2 linked regions of the Diceros bicornis minor genome follow. The protein of the gene in region 2 purifies or fractionates together with the protein of the main gene of each other region. This does not show direct contact. Links are inferred from orthologs where the notes say so. Each region holds a gene or a part of one and is shown on either strand. Other genes may lie near its edges.

What was found. The genes of interacting proteins can lie anywhere in the genome.
Region 1: the proteins of FBXL17 (region 2) and KLHL9 purify together in Homo sapiens (co-immunoprecipitation; 3 studies listed by BioGRID and IntAct, with this or other methods). This does not show direct contact. The link is inferred for Diceros bicornis minor from reciprocal best matches to the Homo sapiens genes FBXL17 and KLHL9.

Annotation. Positions count from the first base shown.
Region 1 is NC_080761.1:43,536,858-43,548,193, forward strand, and holds KLHL9 (kelch-like protein 9), read right to left. Parts: upstream 4,615-11,336; 5' UTR 4,090-4,614; coding exon 2,236-4,089; 3' UTR 225-2,235; downstream 1-224.
Region 2 is NC_080740.1:31,794,568-31,805,566, forward strand, and holds the start of FBXL17 (F-box/LRR-repeat protein 17), read right to left. Parts: upstream 5,013-10,999; 5' UTR 4,952-5,012; coding exon 3,962-4,951; intron 1-3,961. UniProt on the Homo sapiens protein: Substrate-recognition component of the SCF(FBXL17) E3 ubiquitin ligase complex, a key component of a quality control pathway required to ensure functional dimerization of BTB domain-containing proteins (dimerization quality control, DQC).

The DNA.
Region 1 (11,336 bases), on a different chromosome or scaffold from region 2:
GTACGGAATAGAAGACAAGCAGGGCAATACCACATCAGCATGTCAGAATTAGCACTGAAAAAGTGATACATCAATACTATATAAGAAATAAAGGAACCATAGCAAAATTATCCCCAAAACGTCAAAATGTAAAAAGATGGACAAATTTATCTCAAAAATTAACTGACTGGCCCTGGCTTTGTAAAACTGTAATAGATTGAGAAAAAAAAGTCAATGCAAGCAAATGCTAGTTAAATTACATTTATTATATAAAGAGATGCTATAACTTGATATGAAAAACAAAGCAACTCTAATAGGCATTACAAAGGCAAAGAACATGAACATTCGATTAAAGAGGAAACACACCTACTCAAAAAACACAAATATTTAACCTTATTAATAATTGAGGAAATTATTAGAATGGCATTTCTTGCTTATTCAATGCACAAGGTTAACAGTAATTTCTACTTTTTCTATTTTCTAGATGTACTCAAATGTGCTATTTTTAGTAATAAAAAAGTGAGTCATTAAAAAAACACAGAAAGTATGAAAATTTCTGCCAAGGCAGAAATCACAAAAAGCATTTAATCAATCAACACTCGTATGGGCAATAAGGGTCAGATCTCTGGAAGCCAATTCCTTCTGTCTTGGTTCCTGAGTTTTATTATGGGATTGTCAATAACGAGGTTGTTCCTGACTTACACTATGACAATCTCCCAAGTATAGGGATATACATATATAGGTATGTAAATATATATATGTAAATTTTTCTTCAGGTAGACAATTTATTCCAGGAAAGCTTTTCTTTAGAATCACTACAGAGGACTCCTATGATTCCATTTGCTAAGGTCCCATTAAGATCTCCCCATGTGGTTCTCAACCATTAGAGATGCCCTAGGTATTGAAGAGGCTGAAAATCTCATTTAGTACTGCCTGCAAGACAGCAGTGTCCTAGGCTTTCTGTAGCTGGCTTCTTAGGGAATCTGAAGTTGGTCCTGTCCTTTAGACATAGCCGTAAGGACATTCTTCTGATTTGATGCAGACAAGAGCATATCACCTGCTTGCTCAGATCATAGGCTCGAGGCAGGTCACATAAAGCTCAGGACCCACATGGGGTGGTGCAGCACCACGGCAACCCCACCAGATCAAATAATCACGTTAGGATGACTAAGTTGGGAGACTGAACTTACAATCCTATAGCTTTGTTCAGCACATTTCTTTCTTTGCTTTTTTCATATCATAAGTTTTACCAAAGAAAAAGGTGGAAAATAGCAGAGCCTAAATTTACTGAGCAAAACAATTCTCGGAAACCTAAACTTTGCTAAATAACCTGTATAAAAGCAACTCTACAGAAAATAATATACAAGCAGAAAAAGTAGTAGACATTTCATCTGAAGTAACAATTTAGTCAAATGACAAATTTGGTTGTGAATTTAATATGCTGTAGCCCTTATCTATCTCAATTCAATTATGACTATATAGACATTTATTCTCTGGTACTGAATTCCCATTTAAATAGAAATAGCTGCTATATGAAAGAAAATAATTTAAATTTAAAACCAATTCTACTATAGCTGAAGAGCCAATCAACTTAATAATTATACATGTATATGTGTATGTACATATATACATATGTATGTATGTATATGTGTGTTTGTTTATATTTTCTCTCTCCCTGTCCCTCTCTCCAAAGAGATACTAAACCCTGACTTAGGGCTATGCTGTTTTTTCTAGTTAATATTTCTGAATTTATTGTTTCTCCTGTCTGTCTAAGAAACTTCACATTATCTGAATGCACTCACACAATCTGGTGAGTTGGGAGCTATGGCAAAAACTCTATGAAAAAAGGGAGGTAGCTAATAACGCTTGGTGATCTTTTGTTTATTCTTTTAGGTTAGAGCACACAGCCTCCCTTTGATGTTTTGCGGTCAAAGATGAAAACTTTCAACTTTGAAGCATAATGAACATAATTATACATTTACTACAATCATCTACAATTTGACTTACACAACACCACAAAAAGACATCTAACTTGAACATTTTTCTACATATCTTTTTACATTTGTTAAAACAGTTGGCTATGTTGAATACATTTTCAGAACACATTTGTTAACCATTGATAAACACATTAAGCCAAACAACACAAATAACATCAGTTACCTTTTTATCTAATAACTACCAATCACTGTTAAGAAGATACAGCTGAAGGGGAAAGAGATCATCCATGATGCACTGCAAAGGTATTACACCTTATTCCTAAGAATGATCTGAAGGTGCTGAAAGAGGTGATTCTCTAGAAGGTGACCCAGGGTTTTCTTCAGGTGGAAAAACTGTGAGAGTACAAGCTCGAATGCCACCAAGTGACTCTGGAAGGTCAAAAACTTTATGCCACTCATCCTTTTCTGGGTCATATTTCTGGACAATTTCTACCATACAACGATTATTCCAAGAATATCCACCTATAACATAGATTTTATTTTCAAAGACAGCAACTCCAACATCACTTTGACCTCTTAACATAGCAGCAATTGGTGTCCACTGGTCAAGGGTTGGTGAATAGTATTCACAGCTTAGAACATCATCATAATCACTTGTTCCTCTGAAGTGATTGCCACCAATGACATAGAGCTTGTCTCCAACTGTACACATGCAATGCAGGCCTCTGACTGTAGTCATTGGAGCTTTCTGTGTCCATTTGTCTGTATCTGGGTCAAAACACATGAGCTCATTTTGGAAAGTGTCATGAGTAATTCCTCCTGAAATATACATTAAGCCTCCATACACTGTTCCAGCATGGCCATAGTGGGGTTCACTCATTTTTGCAACATAACTCCACTCATTCATTCTTGGGTTGTAACATTCTACTGTAGCCAGTTCACCAGCTGCACTTCGCCCACCAACAGCATACAAATGTCCTTTGAGGGCACTCAAGTGGAAGAATGTGCGCTTTTCATTTAATGATGCAACCTGCATCCATTTATTATACCGAGGATCAAATCTGAAAACCGTGTCAACAGCAGTTTTTCCTTTTGTATCATAATTACTTTGACCACCAACTACATAAAGAAAGTTTCCAATGACAGCAATGCCATGCTGATAACGAGGAGCATCCATGGGGGCTAAAGATCTCCACTCTTGTGCCCTTTCATCATACATCCGTAATTCTTTACTGACAACCAGCTGCTGTCTCAAAACTCCTCCTAATGTAACCAAGTGTGTCGAGTCAGATCGAATAGCAGTTCTATCTGACTGCATCACTGGTTGCATATATGGCATCATTTGGTAATTGCTAGCTTCCAAAAGCAAATTCACACAGGTATTATCTGTTCTCATGAAATCTACTGTCTGCACATAATTGATGAGGTCCTGTGGTGTCATCAGTGGAAATCGAATATTCTTCATTAATTTTGCAGCATAATCCATCCGAGGGTCTTCCAACCTTAGCCAGCGACAGGCAGCCTTGAAGAGCTCAAGTTCAGTACAGTGCTTAAGACTATTACTGGAAAGCACAAAGGCAAGCCGTTCAAAAGGGAGTTTTAGAAACTCCCCAGTACTCAATAATGCAGGAAAATTCTTCAGGATGAAATTATTGACATATTTATCCACTTCTATAAGATTATAGGTGTTAGCAATTCGCCCAACTTCAACACAGTTATCTAGAGAGACTCCTGAAATAAGAAACACTTTACAGAAGTCCAAAACAGGTAAAATTTGTAAAAAGCTGGCAGCTTCAAGTGTGTCCTGAAGATTGTCCATATTAAGAGAAAGTTTTGCAGTATAAATAAAATCAATTATTTTCTTCAGACCAACCTTGTTCACCCCATGAAGCTTAATGCACATTAAATCTTGTTCTTTCATTCCCCCTGTGAACATAGCCTTGAAATAATCACTAGCAGATGCCATCATAGCTCTGTGAACAGGGAAGATTTCATCTCCATCACCTGGTACCAGGGTCACATCACAAAGCAATCCTTCTATTCTGAGCTGATCAAAGCCTTGCAATACCACGGAACTGTGAGTATTGCTGGTAAAGAAACGCGTGGTTCCTGCTTTGCAAGGCTGTAAATGGGCAGAAACGCCCATCTCGCCGCTACCAAGAGACACTTTCATGTGAAAGCCTTCCTCTTGCACAAAGACGTATGCCGGAGACAGAGGTCACAACCTGAATGCTTTAGGAAACGAGGATGTCCAAAGAGCAGGAGAGCTCGCTTTCCTTAGCAAGGGCAAGCAATCACTGCGGCACCCCTCGGAACACACCAATCAGTCATCCACTGAAAACCGCTCTGGCGCAGGACCACAAAGCGCTGTGGACCTCAAATCTCACTATTATGCAGATGATTCATCACCTGAAGCCAGTTAAGTGACCCGGTTCAGCTGGTCAGGCCTGCGCCGCCGCTCCTCCAGCAGTTCCTCTCCGAGCCGAGGGGAGCGCCGCCACGTACTGTGGCTCCGCGGCTCGCTCGGCGGCGAGGCCGGGCACCTCAGCGAGCGGCCCGCTGCGCCCTCCGCTGTCACGAGAGCGTCGCCGCGGCTACGGGTCTGTCTTGGAGCAAGGGCCTGGAACACGGGCCTGGGCCTGGATCTGGGCCTGGAACACGGGCCTAGACCCAGACGCCGAGCCGGTCCTTCCGGAAAGGCCGAGTCCCAGGATCCCCCGGGCTAGGAGCGGCCGCGGCAGCTACTGCGCCTGCGCGGCCGCCCGACCTGTCAGTGGGCGGGCGTGTGGGGGCTGGGGAGGAAGGGCGCAGGGCTCTGGAAGGGTGAGGATGGGGGTGGGCGCGAGCGGAGCCTCAGCGGGTCGCTTTGTCTGTGGGATTCAATAGGCCCGGAAGGGGTGCCCGTATATTATGCTGCACGTTTGCTGTCAACTCTTCACGGCATCTGAGCTCTCCCCACAAATGCGTACTTTTTCTTTAAGATTTATGCGTACTGGCTTCTGTATTTTGAATAACAATAAAATGCGGCTTTTGTAGAAATTGAAAGGAAATATGGCAGATGACGGCATAAGGGGAAGTTGCATGAAAATTTTCCTCTATTAAAAACTTTATAATTCTTATCCCACACAAAGTAATAGACACCTCAATTGTAACTTTGGTTCATATTTTCAAATTTTTCATTATTTAAAATACATATCATTTGTCTCTCTTAAAATACCAAATTGTGACCATGCTATGTAGATAATATAGCCTGAATTTTTGCCTCTCAGTGGAATTCCAACATCGATAATTTTTTCATACTTTTGTTTTCCACTCACAAATTTTTAAATGAGTACACAATTGTCCAATAACTAAACATACTGTAGTTTTCTTTCCCCATTGTTTGTTCTTGAACAAACATTGTTCAACATACAAGAACATTGTATGTTCTTGAACATACCTTCTTGTCTCCCATTGTTTTATAGAATCTTAATAAACCTATAGAATCTGGGCACAAACCTTTCCCTTGTTTCTCTATAAATCCTAAGGGTAAAATAGTGATTCAAGACATAAAAATTTGTTTCCAAATATTGCCACCAGCAATGTTTGAGTGTGCATTTCCCCTCTACTGATCTTTCCCTTTGTGGATATTTTATTAACTTGTATTTCTTTAATTACCAGTAAATTTAAATTTTGGCACATGAATAAATGTATACTTTGACACAATTTTTTCCAACATTTTTCACAGTTTGAAGTTATTACTGTCTTTTAAATCCTTCCGGTTTCTTTACACATATGCAAACTAATAAGAATATAGCTATATTCTTTTATTACACTCTCTCTATTTTTATATAAAAGATGGCATGCCCCACTCACTGTTCTGCACCTATCTTTTTTCACTTGGAGATCTTCAATGCATAGAGAACTTCTTTATCTTTTTAAGCAGTTGTATTGTTTCCCATTGAATGGGTGTGTCATAAATTATTTAACCAGGCCCCTACTGATGGACAGTTAGCTGGTTCCAATTGTTTTCAGTTGTTTTTGGTGGATAGCAGCAAGGTCCAGAAGGCTCAGACCACTGCTGTCCTCCACCAGATGCTTCAGCAGATCTTCAACCTGTTCAGCATAAAAGGATGGTTGGAATGAGACTGGCCTGGAGAAGTTCTTCCCTGGACTTTATCAGCATTGGGAAGTCCTTGAGACCTGCTTGGTGCAGGAATTGAGGATGGAAGGACTCCATACTGGCCATGAAGAGGTATTTCCAAGGAATCAGTTTCTATATGGAAAAGAAAGAATAGAACTGCTGTACCTGGGAAGTTGTTAGAGCAGGAAATCATGAGATCCTTCTCTTTATTGTCAAGCTTGCAGGGAATGTTAAGAGCTAAGGAACCAGACCTATAATCTTAATGAAACAATTCTTATGGAGAGATACAATTCATCATACTCCCACATGTTTAGTCATTTCAAAAGACTGTTTTTTCTGCCTTCATCATGAAATAAATTGAACAAAGTTTGTCACAACATTTGTTGATAGTATTAAGCAACTATAAGTTAAAGCATCCAGTTCAAAGAGGGCACCAGCCCAACATAGGTGACCCTATTAATGTACTTATGTACTTAACTATTTTGCTATATTTATTGTATTTCAATATTTTTAATAAATCAATGCCAAGACTGATATTGCAACCTCAAGTGAAGTATGGAGGTACAGTTCATTCATTCATTGATTTCATTCAAGCTATATGTAACACTTGAGTATCTAAATTACAGGTTCTATGACTGCCTTCACAGGATAAAAAGGTGATGAAAGAAAAGTGCCAGCCTTCTTGAAACTTTCCTTTTTGCTGGAAGAAAACATAAAAATATTGATCAATTAATTAATTTCAACTACATTATATGCTAACACCATAGGCAAAAGAAAAGTAGCTCCTATCACCAGAAACTGGAGGATGCAGACTCTCAACTTTGACAGTTGGACATACAGTTCTAGAATTTACAGAGGGTCAAGGCTAGAAGTGTTAACTTGGGAGCTGGGGTCTACCTGGTCCCTGAAGGCCAGAGAATGAATGAGTTCTTTTAGAAAGAGAGTAGAGACTAGGAAGATGACCAGAAACTGAACCTTAGGGACCTTCACATTTGAATGCAGGGAAGAGAATGAGGAGCCTGAAAAGGGCGCTGGAATTTAATGGCAGCACAATAGGAGGACAAGCAGGAGAGAATGGTGATGAGAAGATATTTAAGGAAAGAAATGTGTTTAAAAGCCAATGTCTTGTATTCAGGGAAAATGAGGGCTGTTTTGGCAGAATTAATTCCATAGAATCCAGACTGGAGTATATTGACTAAGGTTAAATAAGAGGAAAGGTGTTGGAGACAGAGTGGATAGAAAGTTCTTTTGAGAAGTTTATCTGTAAAGAGAAGAGAAATAGGGTAGGACCTGAAGAAAAAATGTGTGTTAATATTATTGGACCTAATTTTTTTAACCTTTTACAAACATTTTTTTGGGGAGACAGATTTCAAGAAATGGATGTAGTGGCACAAAGCATATAAAATCGATATTTTATTTCTTTTAAATAACTGCTTATTTAATAGGCTAAAATGTCAAGCATCATTGTTCAACTGTTTTAAAATACTAGTGGGCTAGAGAGTTTTTTCTTTTGCTTTGTTTGCTATTTTTAGTTCTCTTTATTTGGGTTTTATTTTATATTAACTACTTTTGTATTGTCCTTATGAATGATGTTTTATATATCTTTAATTCTTAAAAGTAGACATAAACCTTTCTATGCAGATGGCAGCTGTATTCCTATGATGCAACTCTTTGTCAATTTTATGTTGACAAATAACAGCTCATTTTTAAGTATTTTCTCCTGTGCCAGAATGTTGAACATGTAGGACCAGTCCTCTCCCATTCTCATTCCTCTATCGATCTTATGAATGATCAGTTCCCTTTTATATTTTATATCTTTTACATTTATTTCTATATTCTATTAGGATTTTATCTTCATCTATGAGACAAGAATCTAAATTGATTTGTGTCTAGATTGCCAGGTATTTATCCTGTTACCATTTACTGAAACTACTTTTCTTCCTTATTAACATCTAAGATACCCTTAATTCCAAAATTACTTATTACTGATAATACCACAATTTCTGGGATTATTTTCTTTATTACTCTGGTCACCTAACTTTCCTTACTGTCACCATGTTTATATTGTTGCTGTTTTATAAATACAGTTGATTTGTGGTGAAGCTGGTATGTAAGCTGGTATGTAAAGATGGTAAGGCTAGGTATGTAAGAATTTTTCCTGCTCTATTCTTTGATATTATTGCTTGATGATCTTTCCTGATTAACGTTTGAATTGTTCTACAGAGGTCAGCGTTGGCTTTATAAAAATCATGAAATTTTGTGGACTCAGAAATGACCATACTGCAATGAATGTAAAATTTTGAGAAACTTCCTTCATCAAATGGAAAAATGAAATTGGATTGGAGAATTTCTCTTCCACAAAAATCTAAGGGAAAGAGCAAAAATATATTAAAATCATCAGAAAGTACAAATGTAGCCATCAAAAAGAGAAGTACAGTGAAAAAGAGAAATCATAATTCTGCAAGTAATAGATAAAAACAAAACAAAACAGAAACCCAACATGTAACTTAAAGAATCAACCATAACTCACTATGTGGGATTCTGCATGGAACCCACATTCTGCCCAGAGGCAACTCAACTTCCCTGAGTTTCATTTTTCTTAAATGGAATATGGAGTAAAAAATATTTGTAGAGCTGATGTAAGTACATTTTAAAGCATTTAGGATCGTTCCTTCCTCGGAGTTAACATTTAATAAGTGATAGCCATTGTCTTCATTTTCTCCATATAAACCTATATGAGAATATTACATGTCTTTTTCTATAAACTGGTTTGAAATTGTACCATCTCACTCTTGATAGCTGACTGACCAAAGTCAGCTGAATTCTGGCAAGAACCTTGAAGACTGAAAAACAGGTATGCATCATATCAAAGATATGTTTGACCTATATTCAGTCAGCACAGTGGCTTAAATCAATATCTGAAATTGGGAGGAAGCTCCTAGACAGGAATGGGAAAGACATTGTATTCTTTTGCCCATTTTGGCACCTGCACACTTCTACTGGCACCTCTCCCAGCTTTCCTGGATCTATTACTTCCATGTCACAACAGTTTCCTTCTTCTTCAGTGTAGAAGTTACCAGGAACCCTCCTCCTTCACTCCGTTTACTTGCACTGCCCTTTTAATACAACTGCTTCCTGTTCTGTTGTGGTTTCTGGCCTAAAGCTTTCCCAGATGGACATAAGTAGAGAATAATAGTTGAACGATATTTCCAGATTTTGTTGAAACATATGTAAGAGAAGTATCCCTCTTTTATGTTGAATACTTTTGAACAGTGAGGGCAGCCCATGTAGTTCAAAGGAAGCAGAAAGTAGGATCCAGTGACTGTGGGCTAATAAAGCTGTCACAGGAAAAGAGGCCCCTGCTGACCAAGTGTGACAGGGCCAGAGACCAAGTCTGGAGGGCAGGCTTCTGGTCTGCATAGATGTGCTCCTTTCTACCTCCAGAAATTCCTCTGGAATTTTACTCCAGAGCTGATAAGGGGCTCTTTCCTGGCAGGAATTGACCCTAATATTGGCATAAGTCTCTTGCCATCGTCTTCGTTACAAAGAGAACGAGTCTTCATTTTCAGGCAGGGCGTGGCGCCTTTAGGCCAGGGGCAGCTACGGTGAGAGAAAAAGAAGCCAAAATGCGTTTCCTTCCTCCAACCTGCAGAGCAGACTCAGGGCTCCCACTCCACAGACTGTCTGCCAGGTAGGTAGGCAGAGCCTGAAAATCTGAGGGTAAAAACTGCAAAGGTATTTTGAGTACAATCTCATATTTGATGGTACATTAAATTTCTGTTAATAGTAAATTCCCAGTTTCACAAATTCATTTTTTATAACAGATCTCTTGACTTTATAATTAGGGAAATATGCTTATCATAACTTTGCATAAGGATTGCAACATCCCTTTCTCCCTCTGACACAGTAGTCAAAGGGAACAGTCCTACTCCATGTCTGCCTGGAAATTTCCTAATCACCCCCTTGTGAAAAGCCCAGCTAATTATCACATCTTCACTGAACCCTGATTCCTAGGCAGAGTTCTTAACTCACAATGCTGAATGCCTAGAGCCTGCTCCACAGCTGCTTCTAGAGCACTAATTACCCTCTATTAGGATTAAGGGCATGGTCCTGTTCTGTCCTGTCCCTGGAAGATGAGAGTCCCGTGAAGGAGAGGACTTTACCTGATTCATTTCAGAATAATATCAATGAATGGTTCTGACGGCTGTTTCCTGGTGTTCACCGTGATAGCCCCTAATTAAAACACAGAGACCTCTGGTTGTCCTTGCATCAAGTCTGTTTTTGGGTAGATTCCCCAAATTAAAAGAAAAGTATGGTACTGTGAGTGAAACACAGAACCTTGTGATTAGGAGAAAAACATCTAGAAGACATGTATTATAGTGGCTTAAGAATATATTGAGACCATGGAACAGTTGGGAAAATGGGTTTCGGATCACACTAGCTGCATCAGGCGAATGGGTTATCTTTGTCCATGCAGATAAATAATATCTGAAGACTCCTTAGAGGGAGTGTGGACAACTGGTCAGAGAGCTCATTTATCACACTATTCTCACAGCAGAGATGCTAGTTCTACAAAAGTGTAGAAACTGAGGACAGTCTAGACAAGGATGGTCATCTCAGTAAAGGGCTGTGTGGCACCCTGACCTGTCCCCAGTCTGCTCCCGGATGCACTTGGAACCTCTTGTCTCCTGCAGGGACCTGTACCAGTTCTCTTTTGAGGGTACTTTTCTGGGGCAGTTATAGCAACCATGGAAGCAGACATTCTTTTCTGGGGGACATGGGGAAGATTCTGCTCTCTTTGTCATCTTTGGGATCCACTGAGTCATTGCTCACTCTGGCCTTTTTTTACCTGCCCACTGGACCATGCTACCCCCTCACTTTCCCTGTTATCACCACCACCAGTGGGTGCCTCTTTCCCTCCAAATCCCTTTTTATCATTAGATCCCACAATATTCAAGGATCCTTTTTATCCCACCACTTGCCTTTTACCTTCAACCCATGGAGCATGCCAAGATACTTGAACCTACTCCTGACTTTGTCTTTCAACACTAGCTCCTCACTTGACTTACACTTCCCAAGTCCATCTTTCCCCCTTCAGTTACCCATGTTTTAAGGACTAATTCCATGGCCAATGTTGCAAAGCTCCTTGGAAGAAGCCCCCAAGCAGGTCAGAGAGAAGAGGTTATCTCAAGAAATTCAACCTCCAGCCTAGATAGCTCTTTCCCTCAGCCCCTACCTGTGGCAAAAGAAGGCCGGGTGGCCATGAGAGGGGTCCCGTCTAATTCTTCCCATAGGCT
Region 2 (10,999 bases):
GCTTTCCCCCGCCTCCCCAATTCAGGAATCTCTTTCATAAAATCTCTGAGAGAAGATTACTCAGGCCCTCTTATACAATATGTTGAAACGATCTCTAGACCTGGAAACACTGAGCTGGGTTTCAGCCCAGGGTCTGCCATTCACTATCTAAAACGTCTTGGGATAAGTCATTTCACTTCTCCAGGCCTGCTTCTTCATGCATAAGAAGTGGCAAGTGACCAGATGACCTCAAAGGTCTCTTCCTGTTCTGAAGTTACATAATGATTTCCAGGGAGGCCCACTAATTCCAGAAAGAACTCATTCCATTTTTACACAGCTCTTATTATTAGAACGGACTTTCTAAATTTCTAAAAATACACATTTTTCAACCCTGAATTTCCACCTCTTGAAATCTACCCTAGAAAAATATGACCACATGGGGCCGGCCCCGTGGCTTAGCGGTTAAGTGCCTGTGCTCCACTGCTGGCGGCCCGGGTTCGGATCCCGGGTGCGCACCGACGCACTGCTTCTCCGGCCATGCTGAGGCCACGTCCCACATGCAGCAACTAGAAGGATGTGCAACTATGACATGCAACTATCTGCTGGGGCTTTGGGGGAAAAAATGAATAAAATTATAAAAATTAAAAAAAAAAAAAGAAAAATATGACCACCTGTGCATAGAAAACATCTATTAGCATTGTTTGTAGTAGCAATAAATTGGAAACATCCATTAATAGAGAAATATATAGAGTATGGTATAATAGTATATGTAGTAGTTAAAAAGAATGAAGGAAATCATATACTTACTAATAAGGACACACCTCCAAACCATACTGTTAACCAAAAAAAAAAAAAGAAAATTACAGAACATGCACATTTTGATGACACTTATTAAAAAATCTATGAAAACTTAGGGCTTTCTGCAATGATAGAAATGTTCTGGATCTGCACAGTCCAGTTGGGCAGCTGCCAGCCACATGTGACTATTGATCTCTGAAATGTGGCTACTGTGATTGAGAAACTGAATTTAAAATTTTATTTATTTATTTTTTTGTGAGGAAGATTAGCCCTGAGCTAACATCCACTGCCAATCCTCCTCTTTTCGCTGAGGAAGACTGGCCCTGGGCTAACATCCTTGCCCATCTTCCTCTACTTTATGTGTGACACCTGCCACAGCACGGCTTCAAAAGCAGTGCCTAGGTCTGTGCCCAGGATCTGAACCTGCAAACCCCCGGGCCCCTGAAGCAGAGCAGGAACTTAAACCACTACACCACTGGGCCAGCCCCAAATTTTATTTAATTTTAACTACTGTAAATTTAAATAGCCACATGTAGCTAGTGTACTCAACAGGTCAGGTCTAGAAGAACTATCTAAACTGGTAACAGTGGTTAGTTACCTCTGGAGAGGAAACTAGATGGGAGGGTAGGGGTGAACCAAGGCAAATTTTTGCTTTACCTGCATTATTTAAATTTAAAGCAAATAATACTTAATACTTACAAAAAAAATTTTCTCTCCCATTTCTCTCCCAAACTCTCCCTCCTCTGCACACTCTTTTTTACAGCTATGGTAATTTCTGGTACAAAAATGCAGCAATACAATTATAAAGACTATTGACTCATTATCAGGGGAGCAGGCCAAACTTTCTAAGAATGTTTTCCAATGGATTTGTGCCTCTTTATGCAACAACCCTTCTAATACTGTAAAAAAAAAAAAAAAAAAAAAGTCAAAGCTCCTTAAGTCTTCTTTTCTCCAAGCCAAACATCTCCAGTTCTCACCAGAAATAGAGCCGCAACCCTTTCACCATCACATAGCTCTATCATGGCTCAAAACAACAATAACTCAAGGGAGGATATAAACATTTCTTAGAGACTTCTCTTAGCGGCATGACATATGCACCCAGAGTCTCAGCCCAGACTTCCTAAACACCTAGTCATTCCTTCGTTCATAAATATTTACTGAATGCTACTAAATACCAGGCACTGCACTTAGGGGAGGGGACAGAGCAATGAACAAGATCTATTTCGATAGAGCCTCTGTCCTCAAAAAGCTTATCCTTAAAAGTTCTACTTGGATTGGTAAACACTGAAAAACCTCGATTTCAATTCATTCCAAACAATCCAACTCACTTCATGCTGAACCACTAGGACCATGAGACCCACAAGAGAATCTTTATTCAAGCTTCTAATACAAAGAATGGAAATCTACATAACATGTGCAAATACTCTGACACAACAGGGCAAGTCCAACCGGTATTTCTCATATGTTCCTCAGACCAAGTTTTCAAAAGTCCACAGCAAAAATGCGAGAAAGAACAATGTAGCTGATAGAATAAATTTATTCTATAGCAATTCTCTTTATTACGAGATCATGTCCTTCCTCCTTTCTTCTTTTTATATTATAACGTTCTCTACCTCATGAAATAATGATTTAGGTAGAAAGTACCTGGTTTCCGTTTTGGTTTGGTTTTAAACAGTCTTACTTGCCCAATAACAAGACAGCAATCAAACCTCTATACCAAATATTTGTTGATATTTTATTTGTCCATGTCATCCACTGATTTAAAAGACTCAAGGAAGTTCCTTCTGCCCTAAAAATGCACATCCTGAACACACACAGAAACCAATTACTCCGCCAACAAGTACACCTCAATAAGAGTTAAATCATTACCTACTGACACAAGGAAAAATTAAGCTTTCCCATTCTTTTGCTGTATTATTCACAAGAACATTAATATCACAATAAAACAGACCCAAAAATCACAGGATTATAGATAGGCAAAAAGTCTAACCAAACAAAGAAAGTATACTGATGACACTAACAAATGGAATTGATGACAGTTACTTCAATAACAATAAAAGTAGCCAAATTTTTATCTAGGTTATTTTTGGCTAGTCTTAAATATCATCCACATTGAAAAAAGAGGTTTATATTTATTAAGCTCCAGAAAGGTGTGGGGGGGGGTGGGAGTTGGGGGAGATGAGAGAAAATGAGGAAAAATAACTAACTTGTTAATAATAACTTAATACAAACTCTACCACATAATTAAGTTTGTCACTAGCATCAACAAAACTGCAAAATTTACTTGTAGTTCAATGTGAGACAAAGCTCCCACAGGACACTCACCTCTTCTCCACTGGCCCATTCCCCAACAAAAAATACATCTGTTGTTACCTTCTGGTAATCTGTACGCTTTTATGTAAGGGTTAAAATGTAGAAAGGCAATACAACACAGCACAAACAACAGGGTTTTCAAGTCAGGCAAGCCTAAATTCCCTAGTTCAAGATCCAGATCTACCCCCTACTTTCTGTGTGTGACCTTGGACAAGTCATTCAACCTCTTCAAGCTCCACTAGACTGTAAGCTCCATAAGAGCAAAGACAATTTCCGCCTGACTGACTACTGTAGGCACATAGCACTGAAATATCAGTTTCTTCTTGTATAAAGTAAAGATGTTTACGATATTTATCTCACAGTGGTAATTGGAGGATTGAATGAGACATTATGTATATAGAGCTCTGACACAGTGCCTGATCATAGTAAACGCTCAGTAAAAGTTAGCTGTTATTGACATCAACTAGCAACTACCAAACCTCAAAGTACTGTTTGAAGACTTTCAAACACTAATATGTACACAAAATCTTTACCCAGTAAGTAAAAATTGCTCAACTGATGAAAATATTTCACAGAACACCTACGAATAGTTTCTAAACCCCTGGGCTGGGAATCTAATGATAGATGAACTCTGAATTGTGCCTAATAGACCCAAGTTATTAAAAGACATTCAGTAGACTCCAAGTTTTTCTACTTCAAAAAATAGTCCATAAGCATCCTCCCCATTGGCTTTGCAATCTACCCTTCGGACCTCTCTGGCTGTCAGGGAACCCCCTCCTCTGCGCTCAGGGGGAGGAGAGAGAAAATCTCCGAGGTGGGGGGCCGGGGTTGAGGGAAAGCGCGCATCCCTGCGCCACTCGCCCAGACCCACCTTGAGCAGGATGGATGGCGGCAGCTGATTGATGTCTGGGGTTTCAGGGGGCGCCTCCCTATGACAGTCACAGGGGTTTTCGGGGGTCTCCTGACAGTCCGCGTCGCCGCATTCATGCTGCTGCTGGGCAGGCGAGGGGGCGGTGCCCCCCGCTCGGACTGCGTCCCCGCCGGCCTCTGTGGGGGCAACTTCGGAAGTGGGAGAGGAGGGCGGGGGGCAGAGAGGCTGCGGCGGCTGCTCTGGACCCTGGCAGCAGCCGGCGTCGGGGGGCCGCGGCGGCGAGGCGCCTCCTCCGGCGGGTCCTCCCCCGCCGCCGCCACCGCCGCCGCCGCAGCCCCCACCGCCGCAGCGGGGCTGCTTACAGGGGGTGCAGGCGGGGACCCCGGCCCCCTTCCGCTTGCACACCATCTCGGGGGGCGTGGGGGGCTCGGCTGGCGGCGGGGTCGGCCCCCGGAAGAGCTGCACGGCGGCGGGCGGCCCCAGGAAGCGCACGGGCCCCACGCTGGCCAAGAAAAGGCTCCGGCCCTGCTGCTCCCAGGCGGCAGCCGCAGCCAGCCCCAGCTCTTTGCAGCAGGAGGCGGGCGACGAGGCCGAGGCGGCGGCAGCGGCGGCGGCGGCGGCCGAGGAAAGCAGGAAGCGGCGGGCGGCGGCGGCGCAGTCCTCGGCAGCCAGGGCCGCGTAGCACCGCGCCAGGTGCTGTGAGGAGGCAGCCGCGGCGTAGGCCCCGTCCCGCGGCGGCGGCGACAGCGGCGGCTCCTCCTCTGAGCCGGCGGGGGCGGGCGCGCCGGGGCTGTGCACGATGAAGCAGAGCATGCAAGGCCCGCGGAAGAAGCAGTCCCGGCTCCGGGGCGCCGCCGGCTGAGGGGGCGCCTTGGCCGGGGTCCGGCGGGGCAACCTGAGGAGAGGACGGCGGCGGCGGCACCAGCTGCAACAGCGAGGCCTCTTCTGGCTCGGGCGGTTACGCGGCTCCTTCGAGAGAAGGTGGCCCATATAGAAGGCCCCGGGGAGAGGGACCGGGACGGGGAAGTAGGGAGGCCCGGAGAGGCGGGCTCCCGGCAGCGGGGCAGGCCGCTCGCTGGCTCGGCCTCGGGCCCGCGGCGGGGTCGCCCGCCCTGCGCACCCACGGGCACACGCGCGACGGTGGGGGGTGGGCGTCAGATGCGGGCCGCCCCGGCGCCCGACGGGGGCTACATGCTTTGCCCAGGGAAGCCGGGAGAACGATGGGCGCGAGCTTTGGGGACGCGACAGAGGGAGCGAGCCTGCCGCCTAGGCGACCAGTCCGAGCCTGGCCCGCCGGCTCAGTCAGTCAGTGCGGCGGCAGGGGGAACGCGGGGTCCCGCTCGGACCATTTTAACTGCGGCTCCGCCGGCGGCGCGCGCGCCCGCGACACAGCTCGAAACCACAGGAGCGCGCGGCCCGCGCGGGGAGGGGGCGGAGCCGGCGGCGGCGGCGCGCTCGGGGCGGGGGCGCGGGCGCCCGGCTGCTCACCCGGGACAGCCGCTAGGCAGGGACTGCTGGGAAGAAGCGGGCCGGCGAGGGCGCGGGGCTCGCGGGGAGCGGCGCACGCACCTCCCTCCGGTCGCCCAAGGTTTCGCGGAGGCCGCTAGGCCCACGCCCCTTTCGTGGGGCGGGAGGAGACGCTTCCGAGCCAGCTGTGTGACATCCGTTTGCACAGCCGCGCTGACGTCTGTAGGTGTAAGTTCAAGAACTGCCATTGGCCGGGAGCCGCTCGCTCTTCCCCTCAACCCCCACCCCCGGTCTAGGAGACCGAGGCTCCCAAGGAGCCGTAAAGCCGGTTCCGCCGGAAGGCCACCCTGGGTCCCGGCTGCCTCCGGTGGAGTGGCAGATGCGTGGCCTTTGGAGGAGACGGACCTGTGTTCTTACGTGAGGGGCTTATTGGTAGTGCAGCACTGCCGTGTTTCTCCGACTTGTTTTCGTACTTGTTGCTTGTGGCAGACTACTGACTTTTCATAACTTTAGTTCAAAATGAAAGCATATATCAAATTGCCTATACATATCAGAAAAATAAACAGTTTCTCAACCCAGTGAGTCATCCAACATCCCAGGCTACAAGCTGTAGATGACTTTTTCGTCTGCACCCTCGGAATCCCAGCTATCCATCCATCATATATTTCAAGAATGATTGTGCTGTGCCTGCTATAAGATAGACGGTTCTAGGCGGACCTTGGGGACCCAGATGAGAGAGAGCAAATAGGCTTTGGAGACAACCCGTTAGAAGGTTTGACTATGATACCAGAGAGAGAGAGCAATTTAACAAAGCGGTGGCTGGTGTTGAGAGGTTAGCTTTCCCAAGGGAGAAATTGGAAGAGGCTTAAACACAGATGGGAATGAGCCAGTATAAAGGAAAACATAGGGATACGAGAAGAGATGATACAACAAGGCCCCTGAGAAGATGGACTGGTGAGTACCTTACGAGGGCTACCATCTTCTTTGTAATTGGAAGGAATAACGAAAGGACAGATAAACAATGGATACAGATAGATAGATGTTTCTGGCAAGAAAGTGAAAGAGTTTCTTTCAAATGGTCTCTATTTTCCTTTATGTGAAGCCTGGTTACCTGCTGAAGGGTGGAAGGAAAGTGTCAGGTGTTTAAAAAAGCTACTAAAAACTTCAGAGAACTGACTAAGGAAGCACTATTGCAAGATCCAAGGCCTATTGGCTTAGAGACCATTGTTTGAGCCTGTGTGATTTTCCCACCACAGTGGCTAGCATCACCCAGCCTTCACCCAAACACACCAAGGAACCTTTGCTAACAGTGGCTTGTCAGGAATGACTTTTATTTTAGGTCTGCCAACATTCAGGGATCCTTTCTGAGCTTGATCACAGTGAGATGGAATTCCAAGAAACCTAGAGGCAAAGATTTGTCAAATCTTTGTAGAGGTTTTTATACCTGTTACTCCCTATCAAATGCACTGCCCAAACTACATTCATGTACAGATATTATCCACACAGCTTTCATCCCTCTGACTATAAAGGGATCTTCCAGGGCCCCACAGCTCCATAGGTGAGGACAGGAGGTTAGGAGTTATAACCGATCCTTTGGCATCTCTACCAGCCTACACTGTGAGCAAAAGGAGGGGTTCTAAACCTTTTTATTACTTTCTCTATGTCAGAATTGTGGACCCATTAGTTTCATATAAGTTAAACACACACTATGGCCTAGCAATTTCACTTATAGGTATTTATCTAAAAAAATAAAAGCATACATCCACAAAAAGACTTGTTCAAAAATAGCAGCTTTATTCATGATCACCTAAATCTATAAACAGACCAGATGTCCATCAGTAGGAGATTGGATAAATAAACTGGTATACTCATTCGATGGAATACTACTCAGCAATTTTTTTTTTTTTTAAAGACAACAATGTGTAGGAATTTCAAAAAGTGAAGCTGAATCACACTCTGGAGTTGGGGCCCTAGAAGCTCTACCAGATTTTAACAAGCTCACCATGTGATTACTACACAGACAGCCTGGCACCATGCAACCCTATCAGAACTGCACATATAGTATAACTCCAACTTTTTGTTTTCAGAGATGAGGCAAGTGACTCTGAGACTTTTTAAGTGGTTTCCGAAATTCACAGCAGTAGTTCTTAAATCCGATTCCCGAGCCATTCAGCCGCAAGCAGGTGGCTGTTTTTCTCTTTACAACAGCATGTAGCAGAGGATCCTGTATATTTTAGTAATGATTAAGAAAGCTACTCGTGTCGTCAGCAGAGCTGTAATGAGTTTTAGAGCTCATTACCCTAAATAATAATGATAAACATTGTAAATATTCAGGAAACAGAATTATGAATAAAAGTTATAAATTGCAATTTAGAGACAATTATAGCACTTTATGGCTTTGTTAGTGGGAAAAAGAAAAGCAGCCTGATCATCCAGGAGCTGGCCTGGAACTGTTAGCTACTCTTTGGTGTTACCGACGTTCTCAGGTAGGTCTGAGTGTTCTATTTGAACATAAACAGATCTCACAAAACGTCAACGTCAGACATGGCCACTCTGTGACCGTAATAGACAAGACAGAAATAAGACCTCCATAATCATGTCTGAACACAGCAAATGCCAGAACATTCTCCAAACCACAAAAATGACCATTCTGGCTAATATAAGTGACTTCTGTTTCTTGACCAATTACAACCTTAGCCTTGCTCCATTCTTCCTACCTTCTAGATAACAATTATTAAAATATCCAATCATAGAATTACCTCTGCTTCCTGACAGCGTCCAATCTAAACCAAAGCCTTGACTCTTCCCAAAATCACCTAACACAAGCCCAATCCTGTAATAAGTCTTTTACAACACCTTCTTCCTGAGGCTTTCCATAGTTCCTCATGGTGTGCTATCTGCCTCCTTGTGACAAGTCAATAAACCCAACTCGCTTTGATTATGGGTGTGTTCCTGCTGGTCTTTGGCTTCTGGAGTGCATGAACATTTGTTATAATCAAATGTTACCACCCTATCCAAAATTACCCCCTCCTTATGCTGTGCACTGTAAACTTATACAGTGCTGTATGTCAATTATATCTCAATAAAACAAATTACTTCTTCCTTTACCCTTTCCTCTTACCTCATTTTTATTTTCTTTATACCTCATTATCACGTGTTTATTGTCATTCTTTTACTTTATTCAGTCTCTTCCACTAGAATGTAAGCCCATGAGGACAGGGAGTTTGTTCAGTTTTTAGGAACATAATCTGGCAACTGTATAGAAGATGGACTAGAGAAGGACGAGGCTCTTAGCAGGAAAACTAGGTAAGATTGTTCAAAGGGTCAATGGAGAGGCCTTAAAAGCCTGAACTAAGGCAATCATGGTGGGGATAATGAAGTAGGGGTGGGACTGAGAAACATTTGATATGTTTCTCAGGATTCTCAGGATTTAGTAACTTATTTATGAACTCAAGAGGAGGGGGAAATGGATAGTCAGGAATAGCAACTTGTGTATTCATATGACTTATTTCAGCATATAACTTGTGAAATAATGGATTCTGTAATATAAAATATTTTCGTATTTGAATAAAATTCAAACCTGGGGTAGACATGTTACGACGTAGTGACATTCACACTGAAAGCCAGTAAATAAATTTAAAATGTTGAAAAACAGTTTAAAAGAAAACTTTTCTTTCTTCTTTGCCAACACAGAATATACTCACTTTGAAATTCACATTTGCCTATAAAAAGACACTCATGTATAAAAGGCTTTAATGGGGGTCGGCCCCGTGGCTTAGCGGTTAAGTGCGCGGCACTCGGCTGCTGGCGGCCCAGGTTCGGATCCCAGGCGTGCACCAAGGCACCGCTTTTCAGGCCACGCTGTAGCGGCGTCCCGTATAAAGTGGAGAAAGGTGGGCACTCATGTTAGCCGAGGGCCAGTCTTCCTCAGCAAAAAGAGGAGGATTGGTATGGATGTTAGCTCAGGGCTGATCTTACTCACTGGAAAAAAAAAAAAAAGGCTTTAATGGTTGCAGTTGGGTAACGAAGGTGGTTATAAATAGCTAAAACATCCTGTAGCACCAATGATATAAGTAGAGCGCAGTTAACCTGCCATGGCTCCCACTGATTGTAGTAGGTGCAATGGATGGCCTAGGACACTCTCTAGGGTCAGAAGATGTTGGTTTATGCATCCAGAAAGCATGCAACACCCCAGGTGTTCAATAAATTTAATCTCTAATTGAATTGTGTTTTTACCAAAATAGTGAAAGCCAAAGATAATAGAGAAGACAACAAGCTTTCAGAGAGTTCCCTTCAGAAGGCAGATCTGTACTCTTGAATAGTTTGTTTCAGACACAATATAAAAGTTCAGCCGCTGCCTGGAGTATTCTTCCCTCAACTCTTCTAAAGACTGATTCATGCTCATCTTCTAGGTCTCAGCCCAGATATCACCTCCTGTCACAAAAGCTGTTCCCTAGTTACTCTGTCACACCTCCCTGTTCATTTCCTTCACAGCAGTTACCCCTGTCTGCAGTTAGGTGTTTCACTATTAGTTGATTATCACTTCCATCAGAATTAAGCCCTACTTTGTTTACTCTCAAATCACAAACACCTGAAGTCGCTAATCAGTTGAATTTTAAAGCAAGATTATCCCGGGTGAACCCTCTAAAAGAAGGTCTAGAAGTCAGAGTAAAGGAGAAGTCGGAGATTCAAAGCACCAGCAGATGCTTTACCGTTGGCCTTGAAGAAGCAAACGCCCATGTTGTGGAGAGAGCTACGTGGCAGGAAAAGGCAAGTGGCCTCTAGGAACTGAGAGTAGCCCCTGGCTGATGGCCAACAAGAAGGCTGGCCCTCAGTCCTACAGAATTCTGAATTCTGCCAACAAATACATTAGCTTGAAAGAAGACCTCAAACTAGAGAAGGGAGTGCAGCTCTGCTGACATCTTGATTTCAGCCTGGTGAGAATCTGAGCAGAGAATCCAGTGTGCCCCTGCCAGGACTTCTAACATACAGAACTATGAAATAACAAATAGGTGTTTTAAATCACTGCATTTGTTATAATATGTTGTTGCGGGAATAGAAAGTGTATTCAACCACCAAACACAGTCCTGTGGAAACCGAGACTTGATGTAGTTTAACAGGAGAAAGCAAAACAATCGATTACTCTCCAAGGGTTAATTCAAGTTCATGAAAGGAAACAACCAGGAGTTAATACAGAGAATTTGTTATTCTCCCACTTTTATATAAATTAATGGGATAATTGAGGCAAAGGTAGGAGGTTATGTTTTTTTTTCGCTTAAGATTCACTTATATTTTCCTCCACTTAAATGAAATTAATACAACACAAAGATGTTCTACTATTTATATCTCCTCAATTCTGTGCCCAGTTATAGCCTATATTATAATTGATATTTTCTCATTTTCAACTAGTAAAACAGGGCTTTTAGAAAAAAAGAGGTTACATGTGTTTCCCTATCCAATTTCATGTTTTTCCTCCTAAGTTTAGTAACATTTGGGTTTCTTGTTATATAACTTTAAAGTAGTTATGTACTTGCTCACAACAAACAAAGGCCAGATAGTTAAAATTACTTT